Linked DNA regions of Macaca mulatta. The protein of the gene in region 5 interacts with the protein of the main gene of each other region in a pairwise test. Links are inferred from orthologs where the notes say so. Each region holds a gene or a part of one and is shown on either strand. Other genes may lie near its edges. The genes, in order: TXN2, UBTD1, PSMA1, C2H3orf62, MRFAP1L1, LNX1 and HTT.

Evidence for each region.
Region 1: the proteins of MRFAP1L1 (region 5) and TXN2 interact in binary tests that used the Homo sapiens proteins (3 or more experiments, as listed by UniProt). The two-hybrid records come from large-scale screens. The link is inferred for Macaca mulatta from reciprocal best matches to the Homo sapiens genes MRFAP1L1 and TXN2.
Region 2: the proteins of MRFAP1L1 (region 5) and UBTD1 interact in binary tests that used the Homo sapiens proteins (3 or more experiments, as listed by UniProt). The two-hybrid records come from large-scale screens. The link is inferred for Macaca mulatta from reciprocal best matches to the Homo sapiens genes MRFAP1L1 and UBTD1.
Region 3: the proteins of MRFAP1L1 (region 5) and PSMA1 interact in binary tests that used the Homo sapiens proteins (3 or more experiments, as listed by UniProt). The two-hybrid records come from large-scale screens. The link is inferred for Macaca mulatta from reciprocal best matches to the Homo sapiens genes MRFAP1L1 and PSMA1.
Region 4: the proteins of MRFAP1L1 (region 5) and C2H3orf62 interact in binary tests that used the Homo sapiens proteins (3 or more experiments, as listed by UniProt). The two-hybrid records come from large-scale screens. The link is inferred for Macaca mulatta from reciprocal best matches to the Homo sapiens genes MRFAP1L1 and C3orf62.
Region 6: the proteins of MRFAP1L1 (region 5) and LNX1 interact in binary tests that used the Homo sapiens proteins (3 or more experiments, as listed by UniProt). The link is inferred for Macaca mulatta from reciprocal best matches to the Homo sapiens genes MRFAP1L1 and LNX1.
Region 7: the proteins of MRFAP1L1 (region 5) and HTT interact in binary tests that used the Homo sapiens proteins (3 or more experiments, as listed by UniProt). The link is inferred for Macaca mulatta from reciprocal best matches to the Homo sapiens genes MRFAP1L1 and HTT.

What each region holds. Positions count from the first base shown.
Region 1 is NC_133415.1:15,073,161-15,076,660, forward strand, and holds part of TXN2 (thioredoxin, mitochondrial), read left to right. Parts: intron 1-2,428; coding exon 2,429-2,552; exon of another isoform or gene 2,553-3,500.
Region 2 is NC_133414.1:109,608,562-109,611,135, reverse strand, and holds part of UBTD1 (ubiquitin domain-containing protein 1), read right to left. Parts: intron 1,526-2,574; exon of another isoform or gene 1,225-1,525; coding exon 997-1,224; intron 1-996. UniProt on the Homo sapiens protein: May be involved in the regulation of cellular senescence through a positive feedback loop with TP53. Is a TP53 downstream target gene that increases the stability of TP53 protein by promoting the ubiquitination and degradation of MDM2.
Region 3 is NC_133419.1:50,928,508-50,932,490, reverse strand, and holds the start of PSMA1 (proteasome subunit alpha type-1), read right to left. Parts: upstream 2,801-3,983; 5' UTR 2,753-2,800; coding exon 2,750-2,752; exon of another isoform or gene 2,363-2,749; intron 1,412-2,362; coding exon 1,367-1,411; intron 358-1,366; coding exon 256-357; intron 130-255; coding exon 26-129; intron 1-25. UniProt on the Homo sapiens protein: Component of the 20S core proteasome complex involved in the proteolytic degradation of most intracellular proteins. This complex plays numerous essential roles within the cell by associating with different regulatory particles.
Region 4 is NC_133407.1:112,712,889-112,716,982, forward strand, and holds the start of C2H3orf62 (uncharacterized protein C3orf62 homolog), read right to left. Parts: upstream 2,801-4,094; 5' UTR 2,599-2,800; coding exon 2,153-2,598; exon of another isoform or gene 1,562-2,152; coding exon of another isoform or gene 1,539-1,561; intron 453-1,538; coding exon 361-452; intron 1-360. Other genes in the region: USP4 (ubiquitin carboxyl-terminal hydrolase 4), read right to left, coding at 4,030-4,094. UniProt on the Homo sapiens protein: Essential for normal spermatogenesis and male fertility.
Region 5 is NC_133410.1:6,327,361-6,331,425, reverse strand, and holds MRFAP1L1 (MORF4 family-associated protein 1-like 1), read right to left. Parts: upstream 2,686-4,065; 5' UTR 2,436-2,685; coding exon 2,052-2,435; 3' UTR 501-2,051; downstream 1-500.
Region 6 is NC_133410.1:80,049,242-80,053,318, forward strand, and holds the end of LNX1 (E3 ubiquitin-protein ligase LNX), read left to right. Parts: intron 1-2,282; coding exon 2,283-2,441; intron 2,442-2,829; coding exon 2,830-2,965; 3' UTR 2,966-3,577; downstream 3,578-4,077.
Region 7 is NC_133410.1:3,412,755-3,416,254, forward strand, and holds part of HTT (huntingtin), read left to right. Parts: intron 1-963; coding exon 964-1,078; intron 1,079-1,234; coding exon 1,235-1,448; intron 1,449-1,821; coding exon 1,822-1,927; intron 1,928-3,500.

The DNA.
Region 1 (3,500 bases), on a different chromosome or scaffold from region 5:
GCTCAAGCCTGTAATCCCAGCACTTTGGGAGGTCAAGACAGGTGGATCACGAGGTCAGGAGATCGAGACCATCTTGGCTAACACGGTGAAACCCCGTCTCTACTAAAAATACAAAAAAACTAGCCAGGCGAGGTTGGCGGGGGCCTGTAGTCCCAGCTACTTGGGAGGCTGAGGCAGGAGAATGGCGTAAACCCGGGAGGCGGAGCTTGCAGTGAGCCGAGATCCGGCCACTGCACTCCAGCCTGGGCGACAGAGCGAGACTCTGTCTCAAAAAAAATAAATAAATAAAAAATAAAAATAAATAAAACCCTCAGGCCTGACTGGATGTAGTATGTACCACCACACCTACTGCTCAGGAGGCTGAGGCAGGAGAATTACTTGAACCCAGGAGGCAGAGCTTGCAGTGAACCAAGATCGTGCCATTGCACTCCAGCCTGGGCAAAAGAGTGAGACTCCATCTCAAAAATAGATAAATAAGTGCTGAGAATAAAATAGGAGTTGTCAGCCAGGGGTTTGTGAAGGGTGGAACTGTTTTGGCCTGCTGGTGTAGTGAGCATTCCAGAGAGGGCTTCCGAAATGCACGATAAATGGGGTAGTGCCTCATTTTGTTTGGTAAGGAAGTGGGGTGTGAGTTGTTCATTCTTTGCCAGGCACTGTCCTTGGTGCCACATACATAGAGATGACAGCACCAGGCCTGTCCTGGATGAGCTTCCCCAGCAAGAGGGGAACCTGTGATCAGGGCAGTGATAGTGGTCAACTCAGGGGCTGTGGGATCACAGAGTAGCCTGTGGGTGAAAGAAAACACTTTCTTTTTTTTTTTGAGACAGAATCTCTGTCGCCCAGGCTGGAGTGCAGTGGCATGATCTCTCAGCTCACTTCAACCTCCGCCTCCCAGGTTCAAGCGATTCTCCTGCCTCAGCCTTCCTAGTAGCTGGGATTACAGGTGCCCACCACCACTGCTGACTAATTTTTGTATTTTTAGTAGAGACAAGGTTTTACAATGTTGTTGGCCAGGCTGGTCTCGAACTCCTGACCTCAGGTGATCCGCCTGCCTCGGCCTCCCAAAGTGCTGGAATTATAAGCGTGGGTCACCGCACCCGGCTAAAGAAAACACTTTCAACACAGCTTTGGGTTATGATCGATCCCGGCTGTGCTTCTCTAATCTTGCACTGGTTTCTTAACTCGTATGGGCTTCAGTTTCTTTGGAAGGTGCGTTCTCTTTGCAGAGTTGAGGGATGTGTTTGGTAAGAGCAGAAAAAGTGCTTGTCCAGGGACTGGCGCGTTGTAGACACTCCTGGCCATTGGTTCCCCTCCTTTTAGTTCTGAGTCCACATGGTGTTTGCAATAACCCCGCAGCTTCCAACGCATGTTTACCCACATTGCCTTAGTTGATCTCTCCTAATAGCTTTGAGAGCCATAATCTCTCTTTTTCAGATGAAGAAACTAGGACCCCAGAATAATCGGCTGGTTGGTGAGGAGCCTCTGTTTGAACCTTTTAACTTCCAATCCCATATTCTTTTTTTTTTTTTGGGACGGAGTCTCGCTCTGTCGCCCAGGCTGGAGTGCAGTGGCCGGATCTCAGCTCACTGCAAGCTCTGCCTCCTGGGTTTACACCATTCTCCTGCCTCAGCCTCCCGAGTAGCTGGGACTACATTAGCTGGGACTGCAGGCGCCCGCCACCTCGCTCGGCTAGTTTTTTGTATTTTTTAGTAGAGACGGGGTTTCACCATGTTAGCCAGGATGGTCTCGATCTCCTGACCTCGTGATCCACCCGCGTCGGCCTCCCAAAGTGCTGGGATTACAGGCTTGAGCCACTGTGCCCGGCCCCAATCCCATATTCTTTTATATGACAGTATATTTATCTGAAATATACTGAAATAAGTCACTTTTATTCTAAGAGTCTTCTGATGAGGCCTGTGTTTTAGAAGTCTGGGATCTGTGAAGATTTCCCACGTGCAGAATCTCCTGGCATTACCATTTGGTGTGTTAATTTTTTTTTTTTTTTTTTTTTTTGAGACGGTGTCTTGCTCTGTCGCCCAGGCTAGAGTGCAGTGGAGTGATCTTGGCTCACTGCAAGCTCCGCCTCCCGGGTTCACGTCATTCTCCTGCCTCAGCCTCCCGAGTAGCTGGGACTACAGGTGCCCGCCACCGCGCCCGGCTCGTTTTTTGTATTTTTAGTAGAGACGGGGTTTCACCATGTCGGCCAGGATGGTCTCGATCTCCTGACCACATGATCCACCCGCCTGGACCTCCCAAAGTGCTGGGATTACAGGCGTGAGCCACTGTGCCCGGCCTGTTATTTTTTAAACGTGGTAGACAGAGATAATAAGGGCAAAAGATTCCTTGGAAAGATGCAGGTCTGGGAAGCCAGTAGGGGATGCTGAGCGGTCTTTTGACTGACTGGATGCTTCCTTTCTCGCCTTTTGAGGTGGTGTGGGCCCTGCAAGATCCTGGGGCCGAGGTTAGAGAAGATGGTGGCCAAGCAGCACGGGAAGGTGGTGATGGCCAAGGTGGATATTGATGACCACACAGACCTCGCCATTGAGTATGAGGTATGGATTGACAGGGGGTTGCCACAGGGCAACCAATGTAGGGGGTGTTGGGCCCAGGGGTAGCTGGTGTAGGAGATATCTTGGGGAGGACCAGGTAGCCAGTAAGCAAGGTGTCTTGGTTTTTCCAGAGCTTTTTTTTTTTTTTTTGAGATGGTGTCTCACTGTCACCTGGGCTAGAATGCAATGGTGTGATCTTGGCTCATTGCAGCCTCTGTCTCCCAGGTTCATGCAATTCTCCTACCTCAACCTCCTGAGTAGCGGGGACTACAGGCGCACACCACCACACCTGGCTAATTTTTTGTATTTTTTATAGAGACAGGGTATCACCACGTTGGCCAGACTGGTCTCGAACTCCTGACCTCATGATCCGCACACCCCGGCCTCCCAAAGTGCTGGAATTATAGGCATAAGCCACCGCACCCGGCCTGTTTTTCCAGCGCTTTTAGTAGCTCAGAGCACTTTGCAGAGGTGGCTGTTGATCCTCTGAGCCACCTGTCTCTTCGCCACCTTTAGGAAGTAGATAGTACGACCCGAAAACACCAGGTCATTCTCTTAGTCTCGGACATTGGTACATTCCTTTATTCATCTACCCACATGTTCAATGAGCAGTCATTTGGGAGCTCGATGTGCAAGCATTTGTGATTCTGACACAAATAAGATGAGGTCTTGTCTCCAGGCAACTCCTAGAGAACAGCAGGTAGAAAGATCATCTCCGTATAGGGTGAGGAGTGCTAAAAGAAGAGACGTATAAAGGAAGAAGGGACTGTTTGCTTGTGGGGGAGCTGGAGGGGACAGGAACGCTTCACGTTAGAGAGAACCTCTGAGTTGAGCCATGAAGGATGTCAGAGAAGGAGGAAGGGTTGAGGAAACAGCGTGCACAAAGGCATGGAGTCGCCTCACTTGGTTGGTTGGTTGGTTTGTCCATTTATTCAGCAGATATTTGAGAGT
Region 2 (2,574 bases), on a different chromosome or scaffold from region 5:
GTGACCAGGCACAGTGGTTCCCGCTTGTAATCCCAGCACTTTGGGAGGCCAAGGCGGGCGGATCACCTGAGGGTGGAAGTTCAAGACAAGCCTGACCAACAAGGAGAATCCCTGTCTCTACTAAAAATACAAAATTAACTCGGCCTGGTGGCGCATGCCTGTAAACCCAGCTATTCAGGAGGCTGAGACAGGAGAATCACTTGAACCTGAGAGGCGGAGGTTGCAGTGAGCCAAGATCGCACCATTGCATTCCAGCCTGAGCAACAAGAGTGAAACTCCATCTCAAAAAAAAAGAAACTCAATTCTGTGATTCTAGAGCTCCACTGTTACCCTCTGCTTTACATGGCCCCATAAGGCTACTATGAACTTATGTGAGCTAATGCAGTGGAAGTTTCTAGATCAGTGTCCAGCACATAATGACCCAATAAAAGGTCAGTGCCTTTGGGAGGTCAAGGCCAGTGGATCACTTGAGCTCAGGAGTTTGAGACCAGCCTGGCCAACATGGTGAAACCCGGTCTCTATTAAAAATACAAAAATTAGCCAGGCGTGGTGGCACATGCCTGTAATCCCAGCTACTCAGGAGGCTGAGGCAGGAGAATTGCTTGAACTCAGGAGGTAAAGGTTGCAGTGGGCTGAGATCCCACCACTGCACTCCAGCCTAAGCGACAGAGTAAGACTCCATCTCAAAAAAAAATAATAAAAAATAAAATAAAGGTCGGTGCCTTGGATGTTCTAGGGTCCCAAAATGCATTTGTGACACTGCTTTACAAGTTTGTTGATGTCTTTCTGTCGTGTCATTAGGCAAGCACAGACTGTGTCTCATTTTCTCATTTTCCTTGTGTACCCACTCCTGGTCCATGCTCAGTAAGGGTTGCTTGAAAGAATGAACACGTGAGTAACCACCTGCCCCACCGCTCCACACCCCTCAACACCCTCAAACTGTGCTGGTGACCCCCGAGTTCCAGCGGGGATAAAGCCCTGGCCCTGTCCACTTACCATGAGGCAGGGTGATGCTGGCTCCATCCAGGATGGCCTGGGCCAGCTCGTGGTCGTTGGCTTCAGCAGCATAGGCGGCGGCCTTGAGGGCATCCCAGATCTCCTTGCGGCCCTCAAAGGCAGGCGCTGTGTCCCAGAACTCATCCCGTTTGCTCCGCAGCTGCCCGTCAGTCATGGGGTAGTCGCTCTTCCACTTGAGCCGCTCTTTCTTCAGGGGCTCATTGCGTCCTGGGCAGGACAGAAGGAGAGGCTCAGCATCTCTAAAGCTACTTGAGCTGCAACCTGCCCTCCCCCTCCCCTACCCTCCCAGGCCAGACCCTGAAACCCTGCTGCACTGGCTACTAAGTATTCAGGTCTCTGAAGCCCTTCCTAAATAGCAGGGAAGAGTCAGGAAACTTCACATAACCAACCTAGGGACATAAAATAATTGTGTCAGCAAAGCATATGCTACCATTGTTTTTGTTGCTTTTTTTTTTTTTTGAGATGGAGTTTCACTCTTGTTGCCCAGGCTGGAGTGCAGTGGCATGATCTCAGCTCACTGCAACCTCTGACTCCCAGATTCAAGCGATTCTCCTGCCTCAGCCTCCTGAGTACCTGGGATTACAGATGCCCACCACCACACCTGGCTAATTTTTGTATTTTTAGTAGAGATGGGGTTTCACCATGTTGGTCAGGCTGGTCTGAAACTCCTGACCTTGTGATCCGCCCGCCTCGGCCTCCTGAGTGCTGGGATTACAGGCGTGATTGAATGAATGATCATGTGGGGCAGGGCACGGTGGCTCATGCCTGTAATCCCAGTGCTTTGGGAGGCAGTAGGATCGCTTGAGCCCGGCAGTTCTAGACCAGTCAGGGCAACATGGTAAAACCCTGTTTCTACAAAAAAATTTTAAAAAATTAGCCAGGCACGATGGCACGCTCCTGTAGTTCCAGTTACTACTTGGGAGGCTAACATGGGAGAAATCACTTGAGCCTGGGAGGTTGAGGCTGCGGTGAGCTGTGATGGTGCCACTGCACTCCTTCCTGGGCAATAGAGCGAGATCATGTCTCAAAAAAAAAAAAAAAATTATTAACAATTTTAACATCTTGTTACTAATGTCCCACTGTATAGTCACAAAGATTTTTTTTAAAAAATCGTAATCAACAAACTCCCCAAAAAATTCCTGCAGCATCTGACAAATAAAACAATTCTGTCAAATGTCATTTTTCTTGTTACCCAGCTCCAAGTGACCTCCAAGACAACTCCAAACCACAGTCAAGACTGAGGGCAGAGGCATCTCTCAAAGGCTTTTGGAGGCTCAGTCATCTCAAAACTAAAGGCAGAGTGAGCCACAGGAGTGAGATGTGAAGCACTCTGCCTCCACTATAACTCAGGTCCTACGCCGAGAGGCAGAACTAAGGCTAGGGGCCACCACCAGATTGCTCCCACTGGCTGGGGCAAAAGGAAGAGAATAGCAGGCACTGACCTCCGCTGAGAAAGAATCCCAGGCAAGGCTTTATTTATATACACGATCCCATTTCATCCTTGCTTAGGCAGTAGGTATTACTATTGCTATTTCACAGGTGATAGGACAGATTTAG
Region 3 (3,983 bases), on a different chromosome or scaffold from region 5:
GTTTATTTTTCATGATTATACTTACCATAACAGTCTAGCATCAGCAGTAAGCCCCGCAATTGAGATACCAATATGGTTGTCAACATGGAGAATTTTTTTCTGATGAGCTGCAAGCTCTGATTGTGCCCTCTAAATGGAGACATTATAAGATGTTAAAAAAAAAAATGTAAAAATAAGTTTACAACCTTACTGTCTATGGTGAAATTTACATTAATAGTTTTTTACAGAGGAAGACATATTTATTACTTTACTTACTTTCAATGCAACCAACACTGCATGAGTTTTTGATTTCAGACCAACTGTGGCTGAACCTTGTTTAACAGCTTCCATTGCATATTCAATTTGATGAATCCTGCCCTAAAGAAAAAAAAAAACAAAACCACATCTTAGAAGGCCTTTTATAACTTAAAAATTAGAGTTTTCAAATGTCAGGTGGGCATAGTTAAATCTCAACTGATTTTTTTTTTAAATCAAGAAACTTTTTTTTTGAGACAGGTTTTCACTCTGTCACCCAGGCTGGAGTGCAGTGGCACAATCTTCAGCTCAGTACAACCTCTGCCTCCTGGGCTCAGGCAATCCTCTCAAATCACCGTCCCCAGTAGCTGGGACTATAGGCAGGCACCACCACGCCCAGCTTATTTTTGTATTTCTTGTGGAGACCAGGTTTCATGTTGTTCAGGGTGGTCTTGAACTCCAAGACTCAAGCAATCTACCTTCCTCGGCCTCCCAAAGTGCTGGGATTACAGGCATAAGCCACTGCGCCTAGCCAAAAGCTTCTTTTAAAATAAATTTTGTTGTATATACTTAAGGTATGCAACATGATGTTGTAAGATACACATATATAGTAGGGTCACTATCGCAGAATGAACACATCCATTGTCTCACATACTTACCCATTTTCCTCTGCTGTGGCAAGAGCTATCAACTACTCACTTAGCAAAAATCCTGAATACAAAACACTACCTGCATTATTAGCTGTAGTCTTCATGTTGTACCTTAGATCCTTCCACTTGCTCAACCTACATATTTGATACTTTGTATCTCCTCTTTTTTCCTCCCCACTGCTATTCCCTACCCTGGTAACCACTGTTTTATTCTCTCTCTCTATATATTTGCTCTTTTAAACAAAACATTCCACATATAAGTGAGAGCATGAAATATTTTTCTTTCTGTTTCTGGCTTATTTCACTTAACATAATGTCCTCTAGGTCCATTAGGAGACCTATTTTAATTATAAATGCAACTTCCAAGAACGACTAAAATATTATATTCCATTTTCCCCAAGCCTATGCTCTCACAAGCTTCTAAATATATTGCAGCCACAAAAAGCCATTTCACAGAAATAGTTTAAAAAACATTATTTTACCTGCGGGCTCCAAACAGTGACATCATTGTCGTACTGATTTCGAAACTAAAAGTAAAAGAAAAAAAGACCTGTTAATAGAAGAACATTTCAAATCCCAACTCTAACATTCATTAAGAAATATGCTTGTGTTTCCATTCAATGTTAAGGCACTCTGTTCATGCAATCTTACTGGAAGATTACTACTGTACTCAGACGTAAGCCAATTCTACATTTACCATAAACTGGTGGGAGAGGGAGAAGCAGATCTAAATGGGTCCTATTTTTCCAACCTCTTATTCTAAAACCCTTCATAGCAATCCCTTTAGGCTCAATTACTAAAGTTCACAATCAACTTTCTTGCCTATTTTTGCTTATGCTGCTCCCTTTTATTGGGACCTAATAAATGGTTAAAAGCCTTTCTCTTCTTTAAGTTAGCTTAAATGTCGATTTCTGGAAGTCTTCTCCTTTTCTTCCCAAATCCCCCTAACACATACTCCCACAGTTCTTTATCTAAACGTCCCTTTCTGTTTTTATGATTAGCTTTTCTTCCCAAATCCCCCTAACACATACTCCCACAGTTCTTTATCTAAACGTCCCTTTCTGCTTTTATGATTAGGGACATGTATGACTTTTGAACGTTCACTGTAGTTATGCTTGTACAAATGCTCTGTCTGTATATTCATATTGAATGAACAAAAATGTCCTCAGAAAGTTAGAGGTGGACACAAACAGCTGCAGCGATAGAACCATTACGGCTATTATGACTATTATAATAAGTCTAGCAGTGCTGGGGAGACTAATCACGGGAGTGAGATTGAGTGCGAGCACAGCACTGGAAACCCAGAACCCTATGTTGTAACCCAGATTCCATCACTTCCCTTCTCAGCCTCGGCTTACTCATCTGTAAATAGGTGACTGGACAAAATTATTGAAAAGGGCCTCTTCTAACCGAAGTCTAGGGGAGAGATAAATCAGACGGACCCACCAGGAAAACGGACGCGGTCCAGGAACACAAACCTGGGGGTCAAGTCCGCACTGGTGGTACAGGTAGGCCTCCAAGTCTCTGTCTTCTCCTCTCCCATACACAGCACTAGGGGCTATTCTGGACCGCTCAGAATCTACTCCACTGAAGGAACCTGAGGGGCGAACTCATCTAGCTGACAGAGGAGGAAGTGTCGGAGGCTCCCCGGGAAGCGAAAGCGGTGGAAAGGCCGCACTGGCTACCGACAGCCCCTAACCCGGCCAGGCCGGAGATGCTGAATCACTGCCGGAGCCCGGCCGTCTGCCGAGGCTCCCATACCTCGTGGCCCCGGGCGGCGCTAAGGATGACAGGAGAGGTGGCTCGTCATCCCCGAGTCACCGGAGCTCTGCCCTAAACCTTCCAGAGGTCGGGATTCAACGTACCATGTTGGCGGCGCGGGCCTGGTTGCGGCCTCCAGCAAAACTGAGAATCAAGGAGGTGCTGCCGAAAGTATCGCTCAGCGATCTACAGAGAAGTCTGCGGGAGTCTGATGGCGGCGGCGCAGGGTAGCGCAGTCTATTCCAGAGATATCGATAGGCTTGCAACACTTCCCCTTCCTTAAAACTCTCCGACCGCTCGGCGGCGGGCGGAGCCTGGGAAGATCTAGTAACTGAGATTGGCGGGAAACCCAGGGCTGGGAGTGCCGGCGGCTGAGAGCTGCGGGGGACCCCCTGTCACGTAGCCCTTCTTGGTTCCTGTGTATTGCGGATTCCCTCCAGTTTCTCCCGGTGGCGGGCTGCATCTAAAGTCTTACGAGGCAACAGCCGTGACTCCGGGTGATACTAGCTCTCATTCACCGTCCACAGATTTTGGGGTGTTACGTGACTGAAAGAAACGAGGCTGCAGGAAAGCCCCAAGATAACGATCCGTTTCTGTGTGTCAGCCGTATTCTTCCTCGAGTATCTTGTTTGTGTACATGCTTTTATTTGTATTAAGGTTGGTGCAAAAGTAACCGCGGTTTTTGCCATTTGGCAAGATACCTTGGAATGCTCTTCCTTATTCCCTGGAGATGTTATCTTTCAAGGCTCTGTTGTCTTTAACCCCTCATTATTATTATGATTGGTTTCCTCCACCAGACTTTGAACTCCATGAGGGCGCTGTCTTTCTGTGTCCTCAAAACCAAGCATGATACCTGATTAGGCCACTGAGAAAAAATGGACACGTTCTTTCGACTTACCTATTTTGTCTTTTGAGAGCATCTTTCCGTAATGAAATAGTCTGACATCTTTGCAAACAGCTGCCAATCTAACATCCACCGGCTATTTACATTCTTTGTAAAAAAAGAGACTGGGTGCGGTAGCCTGTAATCCCAGCACTATCGGAGGCCGAGGGCGGAGGATCGCTTGAGCCCAGGAGTTCGAGATCACTATATTATTTTAATACAGTGGGACCTCGTCGCTACAATAATAATAATAATACTAAAATAAAAAAGGCTGGGCATGTTGGCATGCGCCTGTGGTCCCAGTTACTCGGGAAGCTGAAGTGGGAGGATCTCTTAAGCCCGGGAGATCGAGGTTGTAGTGAGCCGTGGTCGCGCCATTGCACTCCAGCCTGCCTGGGCGACAGAGATTCTGTTTCAAAAAAAAAAAAAAAAAAAAAAGGCCGGGCGCGGTGGCT
Region 4 (4,094 bases), on a different chromosome or scaffold from region 5:
ATTTTATATTTTTTAGTAGAGATGGGGTTTCACCATGTTAGCCAGGATGGTCTCAATCTCCTGACCTCGTGATCCGCCTGCCTCGGCCTCCCAAAATGCTGGGGTTACAGGTGTGAGCCATCGGGCCCAGCCAATTTTTGTATTTTTAATAGAGACGGGGTTTCATCATATTGGTCAGGCTGGTCTTGAACTCCTGACCTCGTGATTTGCCCGCCTCGGCCTCCCAAAGTGCTGGGATTACAGGCATGAGCCACTGTGCCCGGCTGAGAGTGTTTCTTAAATCTGAGATACTTGCTGACTCAGACCCATGTGAAGGACCTATCTTCCCAAGGACAGGATGGACTGGCCCACTGTACTCACCGATCATTTCAAGCAGATCCTTTGTGACCTCTTGGCTAGAATTGTTGAGTGCCATGTTTGAGTCAGCCTTCAAATCTCTCTCCATATCTTTCCTGCAGCCCCCAGGTTGGGGGGAAGAAAAGGTGGGGAATTAGATTCTCTTTCAAGAAAATATTGAAGGGAAACTCAGTTTTAGATAATCTCAAAGACAAAAACTTACTGGTGATCTTGTCATTTATGCTTTGATTAGAGGACAATTGGAAATTGCTACGTCAGTGGAGAAACTGACTAACAGCTTTACCATAATAACTCACATGACTGTATTACAGACTCACATGACTGTATCAGACTGTATTAATTTTTTTTCTTTTTTAGAGACAGGGTTTAGCCATGTTGCCCAGGCTGGTCTCGAACTCCTGGGCACAGACGATCCACTCACCTCGGTCTCCCAAAGTGCTGGGAATACAGGCATGAGCCACCTCACCCAGCCTGCATTTGTTTGTTTCATTTATTTATTTATTTTTATTATTTTATTTTATTTTTTTGAGACGAAGTCTCACTCTTGTCCCCCAAGCTGGAGTGCAATGGCGCAATCACAGCTCACTGCAACCTCTGCCTCCCGGGTTCAAGCGATTCTTCTGCCTCAGTCTCTGGAGTAGCTGGGATTACAGGCGGCCACCACCACGCCCAGCTAATTTTTCTATTTTTAGTAGAAACGGGTTTCACCATGTTGGCCAGGCTGGTCTCAAACTCCTGACCTCAGGTGAGCCATCCGCCTCAGCCTCCCAAAGTGCTGGGATTCAGGCGTGAGCCACTATGCCCAGCATTTTTTTTTTTTTTTTTTAGATGGAGTCTTGCTGTTACCCAGGCTGGGGTGCCGTGGCAAGATCTCAGCTCACTGCAATCTCTGCCTCCTGGGTTCAAGCAATTCTCCTGCCTCGGCCTCCCGAGTAGCTGGGATTATAGATGCGCGCCACCACGTTCGGCTACTGTTTGTGTTTTTAGTAGAGACAGGGTTTCACCAGACCTCAAGCAAGCCACCCACCTCAGCCTCCCAGTGCTGAGATTACAGGCGTGCCACCACACCCAATAAGGCCTGCACTGCTTATGAGTACCAATTTATTTGTGGAGTTGAAAGGAAAAAAATTTTTTGTGGAGCTGAATGAATTAAATGGCCTCTTTATTCCCTTCCTATGAAGCAGCCAAGATGGCAGAACTTTGAAGCTTCATCTCTTATGTTCATCCCTTCTCCAAGTCAAGCTGTCTGGGACCAGGCAATTTCAAGTTACTTGAGAGAAGAAAAAGTCTAGAGGAGACCTGGTGATGGTCCAAAAAACTCTGGGGTAAGAGTGGGGAGCAGAGGCAAAGATAAGCCAGGAAGTAGGGCCCAGACTTCAATTCAGCCTCTCCCTAATGTGGGCAAAGGAGGGTATCAAAGGCCCCAGTGTCCAGATTCAAACACAGAAGTTAAGATGGAATTAAGACTTTTGTTTCTGCAACTTAAAAAATAAGGTTATTTTAAACACCAGGTTATTTTACATCCACTACCCCTTTGGGTACTGCAAAGTGGTTTCCATGACTGGTTTGACATCAACGATTGACAACTAGCCCCTCAACTGGAACACATACACAAAATATAACTGTTTCCTAGGCCAGATTCTGAAGAATGTCTATGAACTCCCCAAATGCAGTCACAGAGTTGCCAAGAGGAGGTAAGAGCACTGTCATGAACTAAATCTAGGATCTTCAACAATTTTTTCAAAAACAAGAATCCCCTTAATTGTAGCTGTTAAGCTATCAAAATTAGAATCACCTTAAATTTTCTTTTCTCCAGTTTTCCCCCTCTCCTGCAGTTCTCCAAGACTCTCTTTCAGATGCCAAAATGGAGGAATGCATCAATACATTTTCCTTGCTGGTCAGAGGTTTTCTCTCGGGGCACAGAGCATGTGGTTTTGCATTTACCGAGGCATGGTTTGTTGCAAAGGCAGGGTTCTCATTCTCAGGAGCACATGGGACAGCAGCAAAAGGAACAGCAGAGGAGCAGGCTGCCAGAGGATGTCTTCTGCAGAGGAGTCTGTGCACGGGCAGCGAGGAGGAGAGCGGCGCAGCGCTCAGTTCCAGCCTCCGCTGGCCTGTGCACTCCTGGGAATAACTAACTCCTTCAAAGGCCCGGTCAATGGCTGCAGTCAGTTCCTTTCTGCATCTTCTTAGTTTTTCAGACATTTCTCCTAAAAGCGACCATGTCTTTATGTAATGCATTGGAAATGCATAGGGCAACACAATAATGTTACAAATAAGGCTGCAAACTACCCCGAACGGCCACGATTTCCCGGAGCTTGGCCCTGGCTACAGCAGGACCCACAACCCTCGGGCTTTCCTCCTGGAGTAGGCGGTTCTCGGCTATCGCGGAGGAACCCGCGATCTGCCAGAAGCCCCAAGGACGCCCCGCCCCACTTCCCACAGCTTCCTGGCCCGCCCAGCTACTGCCTCTCGCCCCACCGCGGCTCCCAGGCCGCCCGGCCGTACCCCGCACCCCGCCCTCCGACAGGTCGCAGCCACGTCCTTGTCTTCACCCGCAGCGCAGTGACGCCTACCCAGCCAACGGTCATCGCATGCGCGCGCCCCGCGCAGGCCCCAGACCCCCACGGATTAGGTTAAAGGTCAAACAAAAAAGCCCAGACCCGTATGTCCGGTTCCTTAAGGCCTTGTGGCCCCACAAGCAGCAGCTGGCCCCTCGGTGGGAGTGGGGACGGGTCTTTCGACCGGGGTCCCGGTAAGAGTCTTGGCAGGGATGAGGAAAGAACCTGTTCAAGAAAGCATCTGGGTAACACCAAAATGTATTACTACCCTAAATCGTCATGAACTGGAGCCCTTTCCAGGCTGACAACTCCCACAAAGATTTCTGTTCTCAAGCCAACATGGAAACAACTGGATGGGACACAGCACCAGGCAGTTTTATGTACTGACTTCCTTTAAGTGTTACCTAATAAAAAGTGTGTTATCTAATAAAAGTTCCACACAGCATTTGACCGTCTTAATTCATCTAGGGTAGCAGGGGATGTAACATAACTGCTGGGTTCCACAGGAGGTTGAGAGGCCAGGATCCCCAACACTAAATATCTTCATTTCCTTAGCGGGGAGAAAGCTGGAAATTACAAGATGACTCAACGGAGAAATGGGCTTCAGTGGGTAACTTTCAAAAAATTATAAACCCGTATCAGTGCACATAGCGAGGGAAAGGGGAGTTTACTTGAGGCTTGGGTTACTGTGAGCAGACTACTTGGGGTGACTAGTATCAGCATCAGAACCAGAAATCCAGGCGCTCAGGGCAGCCCTGCAGGTGGGGTGGGTCTCCAGGCTGCTCCATACTCAGCGCCTGTGTTTCTCTCCATTCTTTGGGATCCATCAGACATACTCCATTGTGTACCCCCATCCCACCCCCTTTTCAGCTTCACAGGTTTCACAGAAATTTCTCACCACCTGTTTAAAAATAAAAATAATTCAGCCTCTTGACATAGCTTCTTCTAGGTAAACGGTCTTTTTTTTTTTTTTTTCCCCCTTCTGCTCATAAAAGAAGGGTATTTCCTTGTCTGGTTTTTGGACAGAACACTAGCAGTCTGCAGAGTGTCAAAGATGTTCTCCTGGGGGATTATGCTGGTGCTGCAGGGTGGCAGGATCGTGGAGTCAGCATCAGTTGGTGTCCATGCTGCAAGCCTCATCATCCCCCATGCCCTGCTGACAGCTGCTTGGTCGTG
Region 5 (4,065 bases):
TGGCCGTCTCCCCAGTGCTGGAACTCAAAAGGCTTTTGCTCACTTTGATCCTTATGCCTTATATGTCTTCATTCATTTCTACTTTTCAGGCCCAGGTAAGTCACCTGCTCTGAATTCACACACTTCCCTACTAAGAGTTGACTCCCTCCTCAGGGCTCCCACATGATATCCACACACTCTATATCGCAATTCCTTGTTTCCATTTCTGTCCCACACCTTCGTCCCATCCACGTCTCACCTTTATGTTCCTAGTGCCTTGGATAAGATATGAAGCACGTTACATTCCCACTGGTTGACTAAACACACTTCTGCTGCTGAAAAGCAGGGGCTTGGCCCAGAGGATAGCCGAAAAGTTTTTCTCTTCAGAACTGAGTGTTCCGTCAGCTCATCTCCACAGCACCTTCCAGAAATAATTCTCCCTCAGTTAAAGGCTGACCAAGAGCCTTTAACTACAAGCAGTTCAACCCCATTTGATGACACTCAGTGAAGAACATCCATTTCAAAAAGATTGATTTATGATTCTTTTATTAACACACACAGGAGGGGCTTTGGTCATGTGAACAAAAAATTTATTTTTTAAAAAAGGCTTTTTAGGTCTTTGTTTTTCAAGGCAAATTAATACTTACTATACGTTTGACTTTGACCTCCAATCTGACAGGTCTACTACCCTGATGAACTGGAAGAGACTTTCCAGGCCCTGATAATGTCTTTTCCTTTCTCTGGCCTCTTAAAGCTCTTTGTAGACTGTCTCTTCGATGCCATTCTCTGATGCCCCTGTAATGTGTGAGGGTATTACGACAGTTCCTAATCAAACTGCCTTGTCATAAAAGGTCAGCTATGTGGTCTAAATCAACTCACCTGACAGGTTACACAATATATATCAGACAATGTGCCACAAAACATAGCTCTCCTCTTTCATCTCACAGAGGAACTAAAGTTCCAAAATATATACAAAACCACCTTCCATCTCCAACTGTCTTCTCGTTCTTCCCAGCTTTATGCAAAGCAGTCTCATTAATACATTCTTCACCAGGCTCAACCAGGCAGCGTAGTATCTTCCACTGCACCTCTAAAGTTGGAAGATTCTGATCCCAAGTCTTGACGTGTTCCCAAAAACGATCAGGTCACAAAGGTAACAGCAAAATACAAGGCCATGCCCAACATTTCAAAAACACAGCGAAGTAACAAGAGTAAACGTGACCACGAAAACAACTTAATTAAGCCCCATTTCTCTTGTGAAAGTATTTCTTCGACAAAAGTTGTATTTCCAGAACCAAACACATTTGATGATCTAAATCCATATCGAGGTCATCAATCACTGACCATAAGGGAGACTGTTACATGGGGGTAAAAAACATACAAAAACAAAACAGAGAAAATGACAAGCTGTTTCAGTTTCCTCAAGGTGTCAGTTCATCCTTACCAGTCGACTACAGTCCTCAGCTGTGAACCTAAAGCACAATTGGGAGAAATTTACCATGAAGACATTGACTCTCAAAGTTCCATATCTTGATGTTAAAAATAAATGTGAACCACCCAGAAGAATGCCACTTCTTTGAGACACGGTCCTCTGACATACCTGTCTCACAGAACAGTCTGGAAATTTCAGGTAATGGCCTCTGGCTTTACTCTTTTATTTCTTTCCCTGCGTTCTCAGCCTGCGTTCCATTGTGCTCCACAGCCTAGGTCTTCTGTGGCTTTCCCCAAACTCCCTTAGTGCCGAGACAGGTCTACTTCCTGGCGACTGCCCTATTAGAACTGACTTACGTTTCACAAAAACAAACCCGAAGTTACTTTTATTTTTCTCTAATTACCAGTGTGGGAGGGAGAGGCCACAAAAAAACGGTATACTAACACCTAACAAAACCAGCACGCATTCTTTCCTCTTGACCCCAACTTTGTTCCCAATGCTCAATTTTTGATGCGATAAAATGGGGGATGCAGGCCTAGAACATAACTTTTTACAGGGCGCGGTTTAACCATGCTTAGGGCGACTACTGAGTTCCATCCAAGCTCCCGCGAGTTTCCGACCTTACCGCCGATTTCCTCCTTCAAGAAGACTCGCTTCTCTCTATTCGCCAGACGAGCTCGACCAGCATCTCTGCCATCTTCGCAATCTCCTTGGCCTTCTCCTCAGCCTTCTCGCACAACTCCGACACTCTCTCGTCGGCTTCGCCACTCGGGTGCTGCACGTGATTGAGGGCGCTCTCCTCCGAGGCCTCTACCTGCGTTTTGATCTGGATGAGCATATTGTCCATCTCCCACAGCTTGCTCCTGGTTCGCAGGTACGCCCGCCCGTGCTCGCGTATAAGAGACGCGATGTCCTCGCGCATCTCGTTGATGACCGGGAGCAGGAACTGCTCGAAATCCTCCTCCGGCTCCAGCACCTCCACTTCCTCAGGCGCTTCCACCTCGTCTATGTCCAGGGGCCGCATCTCCTCCTGCCGCTTCTTCAGTACCGGAGGGGCGTTCTTCTTACCGGAACCCCCCAGGGACTGGAGATCAGCAGTGATTGCTGGAGGCTGAGCCCACACGCTTTGTCAATAGTACTCCCGAATTATCTTTAATTTTTTTCTTCCTTTTAATTGTAAGCCTTTAGCTTTGGAACTCCGTGGGAAGAATCGCCGTGGATACACACAGCAAAGCGACCTGCGAAATGGAGTCGCAGCCGTCAACTCGCCCTCGGCCTTTTTGCGGCCCTTTCACGACAGAGCCGGGCTCCTTTACGGTCACGCCTTCGGCGAGACCCAGTAGCGGGCGCGCGCACGTAAAGGGGTCTCGGGCGCGCGCATGGCTATGGCCGTCAGCTTCCCGGCGCCCCGCCTCGCCCTCTTCTCTAATTTAGATTGGTGGCGGCAGGTTTGTTCGCGTCTTCCCCTAAAGCTTCCCTTCAGAGGGGTTTTACTTTTATTATTATTTTTTTAAAGTAAAAATGACCCTCCCTTCCGCATATTTGAATAAGACTGGCTGGCGTTCACAGCGCTTACTATCTAAGCATGCAGAAGCTTGGATTAATTTATATGAATTCACTTAGCCCTCACAACGAACCTATAAGAGAAGTAAAAACCGGGCTAAAAGTCGTGATTTGAGCTCAAAGCAATGTGGGTCCACAGTCCCTGCTCAGTGTTCTAGAATGGAACTCGTCCCTCTGTCCTCCCCACCCCTGGCTCATACTTTTGTTCTGGGGGGAATTTCGCTCGCTGCCTTGGGTGGTTCTGGCCCGTGATTTTTGGTCTCTCTTCAGAGTCTGTAAGGTCCTCAAGGTAAAGGGCAACTTCTGTTTCAGTTCTGTCCTCCGCCCTTTCCGTCAGCCTGGCGTCAAGCAGGGCCTTAGAGAATGCTTTAGAGAGAGGAATTGCCTAGTACCTAAGTGCCTCTACCAGACTGGAGGCTGTTTGGGGACAGGTTCTGGTCTTGGTCACCTTTATGTCCCTCCACACACAAGACCTGAAAATGAGCAGGGACCTAGTAAATGTGGCTTTGATCGTCAATACGTTTTGATCACCAACCTAATGCCATTGTGGAATGGAAGAAGTCTATTGCTAGGCTTAGTCACCCAGTGCCACACTAGTAGTAATATGAGTGTGTGTAGAGGGGGGATCCTTCTTACACAAGTGCCACAGATCAGAACTTCAGTTTTCCAGTCTGATAAAGACCAATGGCCCCAGCCTGAATATCTGTCAGTGGGAAGAGGGATTTGTAAGATGACGTGTGCGAAACAGTTTTGCAAACACCAACATTCTAGCAGATGTTCATCAAAAGAACATTAAGAGGGAAAGAGCAAGGCACCGTGAAAAAAGATATTTGACTCATGCAGAATATATTGAGAACTCCTACAGATCAAGAAGGAAAAGACAAAATTTTAAAACAGGCAAAAGACATAGGCTGGCACTTCACAAAAGAGAATATCCGAATGGCCAATAAGTATATGAAGAGGTTTTCAACTTCATGATTCAACAGGGAAATGCGGATTAGAAAGCACAACGAGGAAGCACTGTACATCCACTAGAATTACTAAAATTGAAAATACTGACAATACCAAGTATTGGGGAAGATGTGGAACAA
Region 6 (4,077 bases), about 74 Mb from region 5:
GCAGACTTAGTTCAAAGTCAGTGTTCTCAAATATGTATTGACTAAATTAGTAGTATAAGGGGATATATAAAAATTTAGGAAAAAACTTAGCTTCTTGAGCAGCTCAAGACTTCACCATTCTCATTAACTCATTTCAGTGGAAATCAAATGAGTCACCACACTCATTAACTCATTTCATTAAATTTGTTCTTGAGGTAACCATAATTTTCTCATTGGGAAAAACTACCAAACTCTTTATACTATGCCGAATCTTTTTCGATAGGCCTAAATTTAGAGAATGAGTGCAGAATAGGAAAGAAGTCCACATTTACATTCAAAGTTTAAAGCCACCTAGTATCTGAGGTCACTGATCAAAAACAGCTGCCCATTTCCCAGTGGGAAGTAAAATAACCCAACTTAAGAAAAAAATGCCCACAAAGTCAGATCAAGGTCTGACTTTGCAACGGGTTAACATAAGGAGGTCTCACTGCTGCAATAAAGTTAAATACACAACACCAATAAAAGAAAGCATTTACTTTTTAAGGAAATAAAACAAGTAACACTGGTATCAACTTGAATGGATGCTTCAGGAGGGCAGGGGATTTTGTGTTTTGTTTAAACATCTGCAGAAAGATGATCAAAGCAGGGTGTTCTCTCCAGTATCAAGAGGTAAGAAAATGGACACACTGTGACTTACTGGGTTCAAAGCTTTGAACTAGAACATGTAATGTTTTAGATGGTTATGTTTACAGCTTCTCCATATGAAATATTCAGTAAGAGTATACTCATTTATATATCAAACTGGGCAATGTTAAAACTGGTATTTGATCATGACCTTGGATAACAATCATCTAATTCTTACCTTTCTCCAAAAAATTGGGCACACATCCTCCCAGGTGGGAATGTTAATGCTTTGGTATTTACAGAATAGTCAGTTACCTGCTTTGTACATGAGGAGTCAGTGAACCATTATGTAAAATGTGTATCTGACACACCACAGCTCCCAAAGAATGAATTTACCACTGACATCAAGGTTTACTGTGAAATGCAGCAGATACATATTTTACAAAATATGAAATTTAATGAAATTCATACTTTTAAGCAATCATTTCAGTAAAAGAAATTGTTATGATGTATATGTATGACAATAGATTCAGAACTGGTTAGAGTTGAATTTCAGCAATACATCTTAAAGGTATTTGCCAAACAAACCCTAAAGCTCATTTTATTTCAAGTGAAAACACCATCATGAAAAAAAGTCATGTCACATTGACTAACAAGGTTGGTAACAAATGTAATGATCAACTTTATCACTTAACATTTCACAAGACTTTTTATTGGTTCTAAAAAGCAATTAATATTTTAAAGGTACGGTATATAAACAAAATAGCCATATCTTGATTTTTGGCAACATGAAAAGGCCAATTTCCTTTCAAAACAATTCCTGGACTACAGCTACAAATGTGGTGAACAACGTCATATAGAGTAAAATTCAACTCCTGACACACACTTCTATGGCAACTGTAACATAGTTAACACTTGGCCTGTACCTATATGAACACTGATTCATTAGGGGCCAGTGAATAAAAATTTCTTCAATCTCATTTGCTATTTTAGTTGAGGATTCTACTAATTTACAGAAGAGCTGGGCCTTTCCTTCTCCCATTCCTTTTATAACTTCCTATCCAGTTTCCTGCAGTTTATTTTTCCTCCTATATGAATTGTTCTTATAATCTTTAAATGTATCTGTTTCCGTTCACTTTATGCCTGCATGCTTCTCTATGACTTGCCAAACATGTAGAACTGGGTGTAAAGTGGTATTTTTCCAAGGTCAAAAAAAGTATACAAATTCATTTATTAGGATTAGGTTTAAATTGCTTTCATTGAGATTATTCAAAGGATTTTTGCCTTCATTAAAAATTATATCAAGTAAATATTATATGACATCCATGTTTGTTCACCAATAAGGATTTAGGTTTATCCAACTTTTTGCTAATACAAATTCAAGCATTGTCTTAAGTTAAAAATATGATTATCGTTCCCAGTAGATGTATAACAGAACACAATAGGGGGTGTCAGTTTTTTAAGGATATTCAAAATTATGGAAAACAGAGGTTCAATTACAAAAAGCCAGCTAACGGCACAAAGGTCACCAAGGTACGATACAATTTTGAGTGGGACCTATGCAGTGCTACTTAGCCATTAAAAATGCCAACAAAAGGAATGGGGGATGAATCACAGTTAAGTATTCCCTTAACTGTAACACTTAAATGTGCATGTACACTGACTACATTCTATTTCAGGTGCTTGTATAACTGTAAAGACATTATATTACGAAGAAACACAGCTGGAAGTCTGGGCTTCTGCATTGTAGGAGGTTATGAAGAATACAATGGAAACAAACCTTTTTTCATCAAATCCATTGTTGAAGGAACACCAGCATACAATGATGGAAGAATTAGGTAATAAAATAATGACTAACCAAAAAAACTTGTATTAAATGTTGTTTAATAAATGCCAAAGCTTGGCCTCATTTGAGATAAGGCATGTATTTATTATACTTTGTGGGGAGTTAAAGTATTTATGTAGCATTCAACTTCTGAGAAATCCAAAATAATTACACATATTCTTAGTCCCATACTACAACTCCCCATACTTTTAGCATTCCTTCTAACACAAGCTGAGTGGATAGTGAGTTTGGAGAATGTAAATAAGAGGCAAGAAATATCTAAATTAAAAGCAACATAATTAAAATGATCAGATGCAGCAAAAATTAGGACCACTAAGATAAACTTGCATTAACTTCAGCAATGAATTAAAATACTAATCATATCTTGGTTTTTTTTTTAGATGTGGTGATATTCTTCTTGCTGTCAATGGTAGAAGTACATCAGGAATGATACATGCTTGCTTGGCAAGACTGCTGAAAGAACTTAAAGGAAGAATTACTCTAACTATTGTTTCTTGGCCTGGCACTTTTTTATAGAATCAATGATGGGTCAGAGAAAAACATAAAAATCACAAATAGGCTAAGTTGAAACACTGTATTTATCTTGTCAGTTTTTATATGTAAATACACTGTTAAAATGTCAGGAAAAGTATGATCTAATGAAAGTCAGTTACACCTCAGAAAATATGATTCCAAAAATATTAAAACTACTAGTTCTTTTTCAGTGTGGAGGATTTCTCATTACTCTACAACTTTGTTTATATTTTTTCTATTCAGTAAAAAGCCCTAAACAGCTAAAATGATTTGTATACCCCACTGAATTCAAGTTGATTTAAATTTAAAATTTGGTATATGCTGAAATCTGCCAAGGGTACATTATGACCATTTTTAATTTACAGCTAAAAGATTTTTTTAAATGCATTGCTGAGAAACAATGCTTTCATCAAACAAGAAATAAATATTTTTCAGAAATTATAGTTGTCTTTTAGTATGTGATACTAATTAAGATTACTTGTATTATTACCATTTAAAAGATCCTAGTAATTTATCCTTGCAAATACCATGTTATTTGTTACCATCACTGACAAATGTGTTCTAGGGCTATCCCTAAAAATGCTCAGAGAATATAAACTTGTTTTGTTTTAGTAATGGCTAAAGCTCTTTTTTCCACAATCGTTAGCGACTGTATAAAAACTTGCGCTGCTCCACCAGTGGGCCTTGGGAAATGCATCAAGGCCAAACCAGCTTGACCCTGGCTCATAGACATGGTCATGAGGCTATTTAAATTTGTGCCACAATGAAGAGTGTTTGTACACGTGCCTCCTAGAAACTACACTAAGGGTAATTTATTTCATAGAGCCCACCCAAATGCCTTATAGGTTTTATTAATTTGGATATGAAAGTGTACCCCATTTGGTTTCACCAGGAACCCAAATTTAGAACACTGAAAAGCTATCAAAAAGTTGTGATATCAAAAATGTGTAAGTCTCTTAATATACTAAGCAAGAGTGTCACAGCAGTAATGATAAAGACTAGTTTTAGTCTCAAGCCTTAGAGGGGCCCTTTGTTGCCTTTTGTGGTGCAGCCTCTTACGAGACTGGTGTTTTGTTTGTTTGATTAACAAAACTGTGGCCCAAGTGGAACCTTGA
Region 7 (3,500 bases), about 2.9 Mb from region 5:
TCTCGTCTGTCATCCTTGCTGGGCGGTGGGTGCTGTGCTAGCAGGACGCAGGACAGGCGGACAGCTGGCAACTGTCTCTGCATCCCTGGAGCCTGGCATAGGGCAAGTCACACGGGGGACACAGGCCTGCAAATCAGGCACATGCGTTGGTGCAGCGAGGTGATTTTGGGGGGCAGCCCCACAACAGGCCCCAGGCACAGGCCAAAGCCCTGGCTGTGCTGGCGTGTTGGGCCGTCTATGGCTCTTGCTGTGGGCATGGAGGACTCAGGAAAGGAGAGTTGAGGTGGCCCAGGAGTTGCGTTTGGGATGCAGAGAGCTTGTGGCATCCAGGTAGAAATGGTGTGTGGGGCTGGCCTCAGTGCCATGGGCACGGGCTGTGTCACATGCCTCCGAGGTAGAGGTGGGATCACGTGGTGATGGATATAAGCATCACTGGGCACATTTCTGTGGGTGGAGGGGGGCATCTTATTGGCTCCTCTGTTCACAGTGGCCACTCATTCAGTCCCTGGCTACCGGGTCCCCATTGTGCCATGGGGAAGGCAGGTGCTGTCGGGGGATCACACAAGGCAGCACGTCATGGTGGAATGTGCCACGAAGGAAAAGCACAGGGCACTCAGGAAGTAGAGGGGACTGGCCTGGGGTGTGGGAATCCAGGGCCTCTTTGAGGGACAGAGAGAGGAAGTCTGTGGTGGCCAGTATGGAGGTGGCCACAGGGGAGGCTGGGCCAGGCCGAGAGGGCAGGGCGTGGAGGAGGTAGACGGGCTCAGCTATCCAGGGAGGGGTCGAGCAGAGGCTGAAGGGTCAGGCCAGGTTACAGGGGCCTGGGGAGCCACACAGGGTAGGTGCTCCCGGGAGCCAGCCTGGCCCGCAGCTCTTCACTCCCGCGTGTGGCTGGGCATGCTGCGAAGCCCTCTCTACGTTGGATGGGGGCGGCTGAGCCTGGCTGCTGTCTCCCGTTTTCAGCTGCGTGAACATTCACAGCCAGCAGCACGTACTGGTCATGTGTGCCACTGCGTTTTACCTGATTGAGAACTATCCTCTGGACGTAGGGCCAGAATTTTCAGCATCAATAATACAGGTGAGTGGGCCCTGACTGTCTTCCTCTGCACACGGGGAGTGGGCTTCCCTTCTCTTTTCCTTGCGGGATCATACCAGTGGGCCAGTTTTGACTTGGTGGGGAGGAGGCATGAACACCTGAGACCATGCAGCGACAGAAACCTTTCTCCCTGTGCAGATGTGTGGGGTGATGCTGTCCGGAAGTGAGGAGTCCACCCCCTCTATCATTTACCACTGTGCCCTCAGAGGCCTGGAGCGCCTCCTGCTCTCTGAGCAGCTCTCCCGCCTGGATGCAGAATCCCTGGTCAAGCTGAGTGTGGACAGAGTGAACGTGCACAGCCCGCACCGGGCCATGGCGGCTCTGGGCTTGATGCTCACCTGCATGTACACAGGTGAGCATGTACACAGTGCCCGCAAGGCCAGCCCAAGTCCTGTTCAAGGGAGACAGGAGCATGCTCGCTCAAGGAACCTAGACTAGGTGTCCTCTGATTTGACACTTTTAGTGTTGCCCCAAGCTGGCCCCATCACCTTGCAAGAGAGGCTCTGGAGCCCCCAGGGCTGGAGTACCTGGTCAGGGTTGACCACCCCTCTGGTCACTCATCCCATGTGGCTGAGCTGTGCTGGGTCCTGGGCTAGCGAGGGGCTCACATCACCTGCTGTCAGGTCTTCTCCAGTGATTCATTGGACTCCTGTGTACAAAGCACTATCTACAGAGCCTGTTGGGTTGTATAGATGTAACCTTCGTACTGAACACTTTTATTACAGGAAAGGAGAAAGTCAGTCCGGGTAGAACTTCAGACCCTAATCCTGCAGCCCCAGACAGCGAGTCGGTGATTGTTGCTATGGAGCGGGTGTCTGTTCTTTTTGATAGGTAAGAAACGAAGCCCCATCCCTCAGCCGTTAGCTTCCCTAGAATTTTGGCCTGAAGCTGAGCGTTTGTGTGTGTTGGCTGATCCCCTGGCGCTGTTGCTGGAGTCCCGCCAGTGATTCCTGACCACAGCCTGACCGTGGGCTGCCTTGGCTCAGGGTTCCACTGGCGAGCTGGTGGTCCTTGGACCCCAGCGCTCAGGTGTAGTGTTGACCAGTTCCAAGGTTGTCCCAGCGCCTGCCCATCTCTCCTGAGGGCTCAGGCACCGCACCTGGCCGTGTGGGGTATGGCAGGGGGCAGGAATGACCAGTCTCTGGGAGGGTGCGGCAGAAGCCTGCGCAGTGATGAGGAGTTGGCTCAGCCTGGCTGCCTGTCGTGAGAGGGGAGCCCACGGGGGTCTGTGGGAGGGGGTCCATGGTGCCTGTGAGCAGGGTGAGGGGCAGCAGCAGGAGGAGGAAGGTGAAACCCACACATGCATCTTTTGAGACCCGTGTGGTCAGTGGCTTCTCCTCGCTACCCCTCCGCCCCACTGCTGTGCGTGAATTGGTGTTGAGAATTGGCTTCGCTCCCCTGCTCTGGAAGTGGGTTAGGAGCTTCGTAGGGCTTTTTCTTAAGGACAAGGCTCCCTGATTGCTCTCAGGCCTCAGTCCTGGCGACATGGCGGATCTGGGGCGTTGTTGTGCTGCCTTGCCTGTGCTCTCCAATCAGGGTGTCCCAGTCCTGGCGACATGGCGGATCTGGGGCGTTGTTGCACTGCCTTGCCTGTGCTCTCCAATCAGGGTGTCCCAGTCCTGGCGACATGGCGGATCTGGGGCGTTGTTGCACTGCCTTGCCTGTGCTCTCCAATCAGGGTGTCCAGTGGGGAGCCATTTGGCTTTTCTCAAGAGCATACTCAGGTGGACTTTGCTCTATTCTTTGGCCAGATGAGGTGTTCTGAACAGCTGAGCCTGTGCTTGTCTGTTTTCATGTTTTTTTTTTTTTTTGAGATGGAGTTTTGCCCTTGTCACCCAGGCTGGAGTGCAATGGCGCGATCTCGGCTCACTGCAACCTCCACCTCCCGGGTTCAAGCGATTCTCCTGCCTCAGCCTCCCGAGTAGCTGGGATTACAGGCACGTGCCACCACGCCCAGCTAATTTTTGTGTTTTTAGTAGAGACAGTGCTTCACCGTGTTGGCCGAACTGGTCTCGAACTTCTGAACTCAAGTGATCCACCCTCCTCGGCCTCCCAAAGTGCTGGGATTGCAGGCGTGAGCCACCGTGCCTGGCCCCCATGTCGATTTTAAAACGCACCTCTGCATCATTCTTCAGTTCCCACATGCTCACTGAGCACCACCACAGCTGGCAGACGGACACAGGGAGGCGCCACGACCAGTCCTGGCCTTCAAGGGGCTTGTGGTCTAGTGGACCCAGTGCTAGGTGGCGAGTGCTCCAGAGAGCGTGGTGCATGCCTTCCGCTCTACCGCCCTCCAGACGCCGCAGGGAGGCACCTTGGAGCTGACCACAGATCTCCCTCCGTGGAGCACTGTCTTCAGCGCAGCCGCCATGCCACTGCTGGGCGAGGGTCTGCGGGCGGGTAG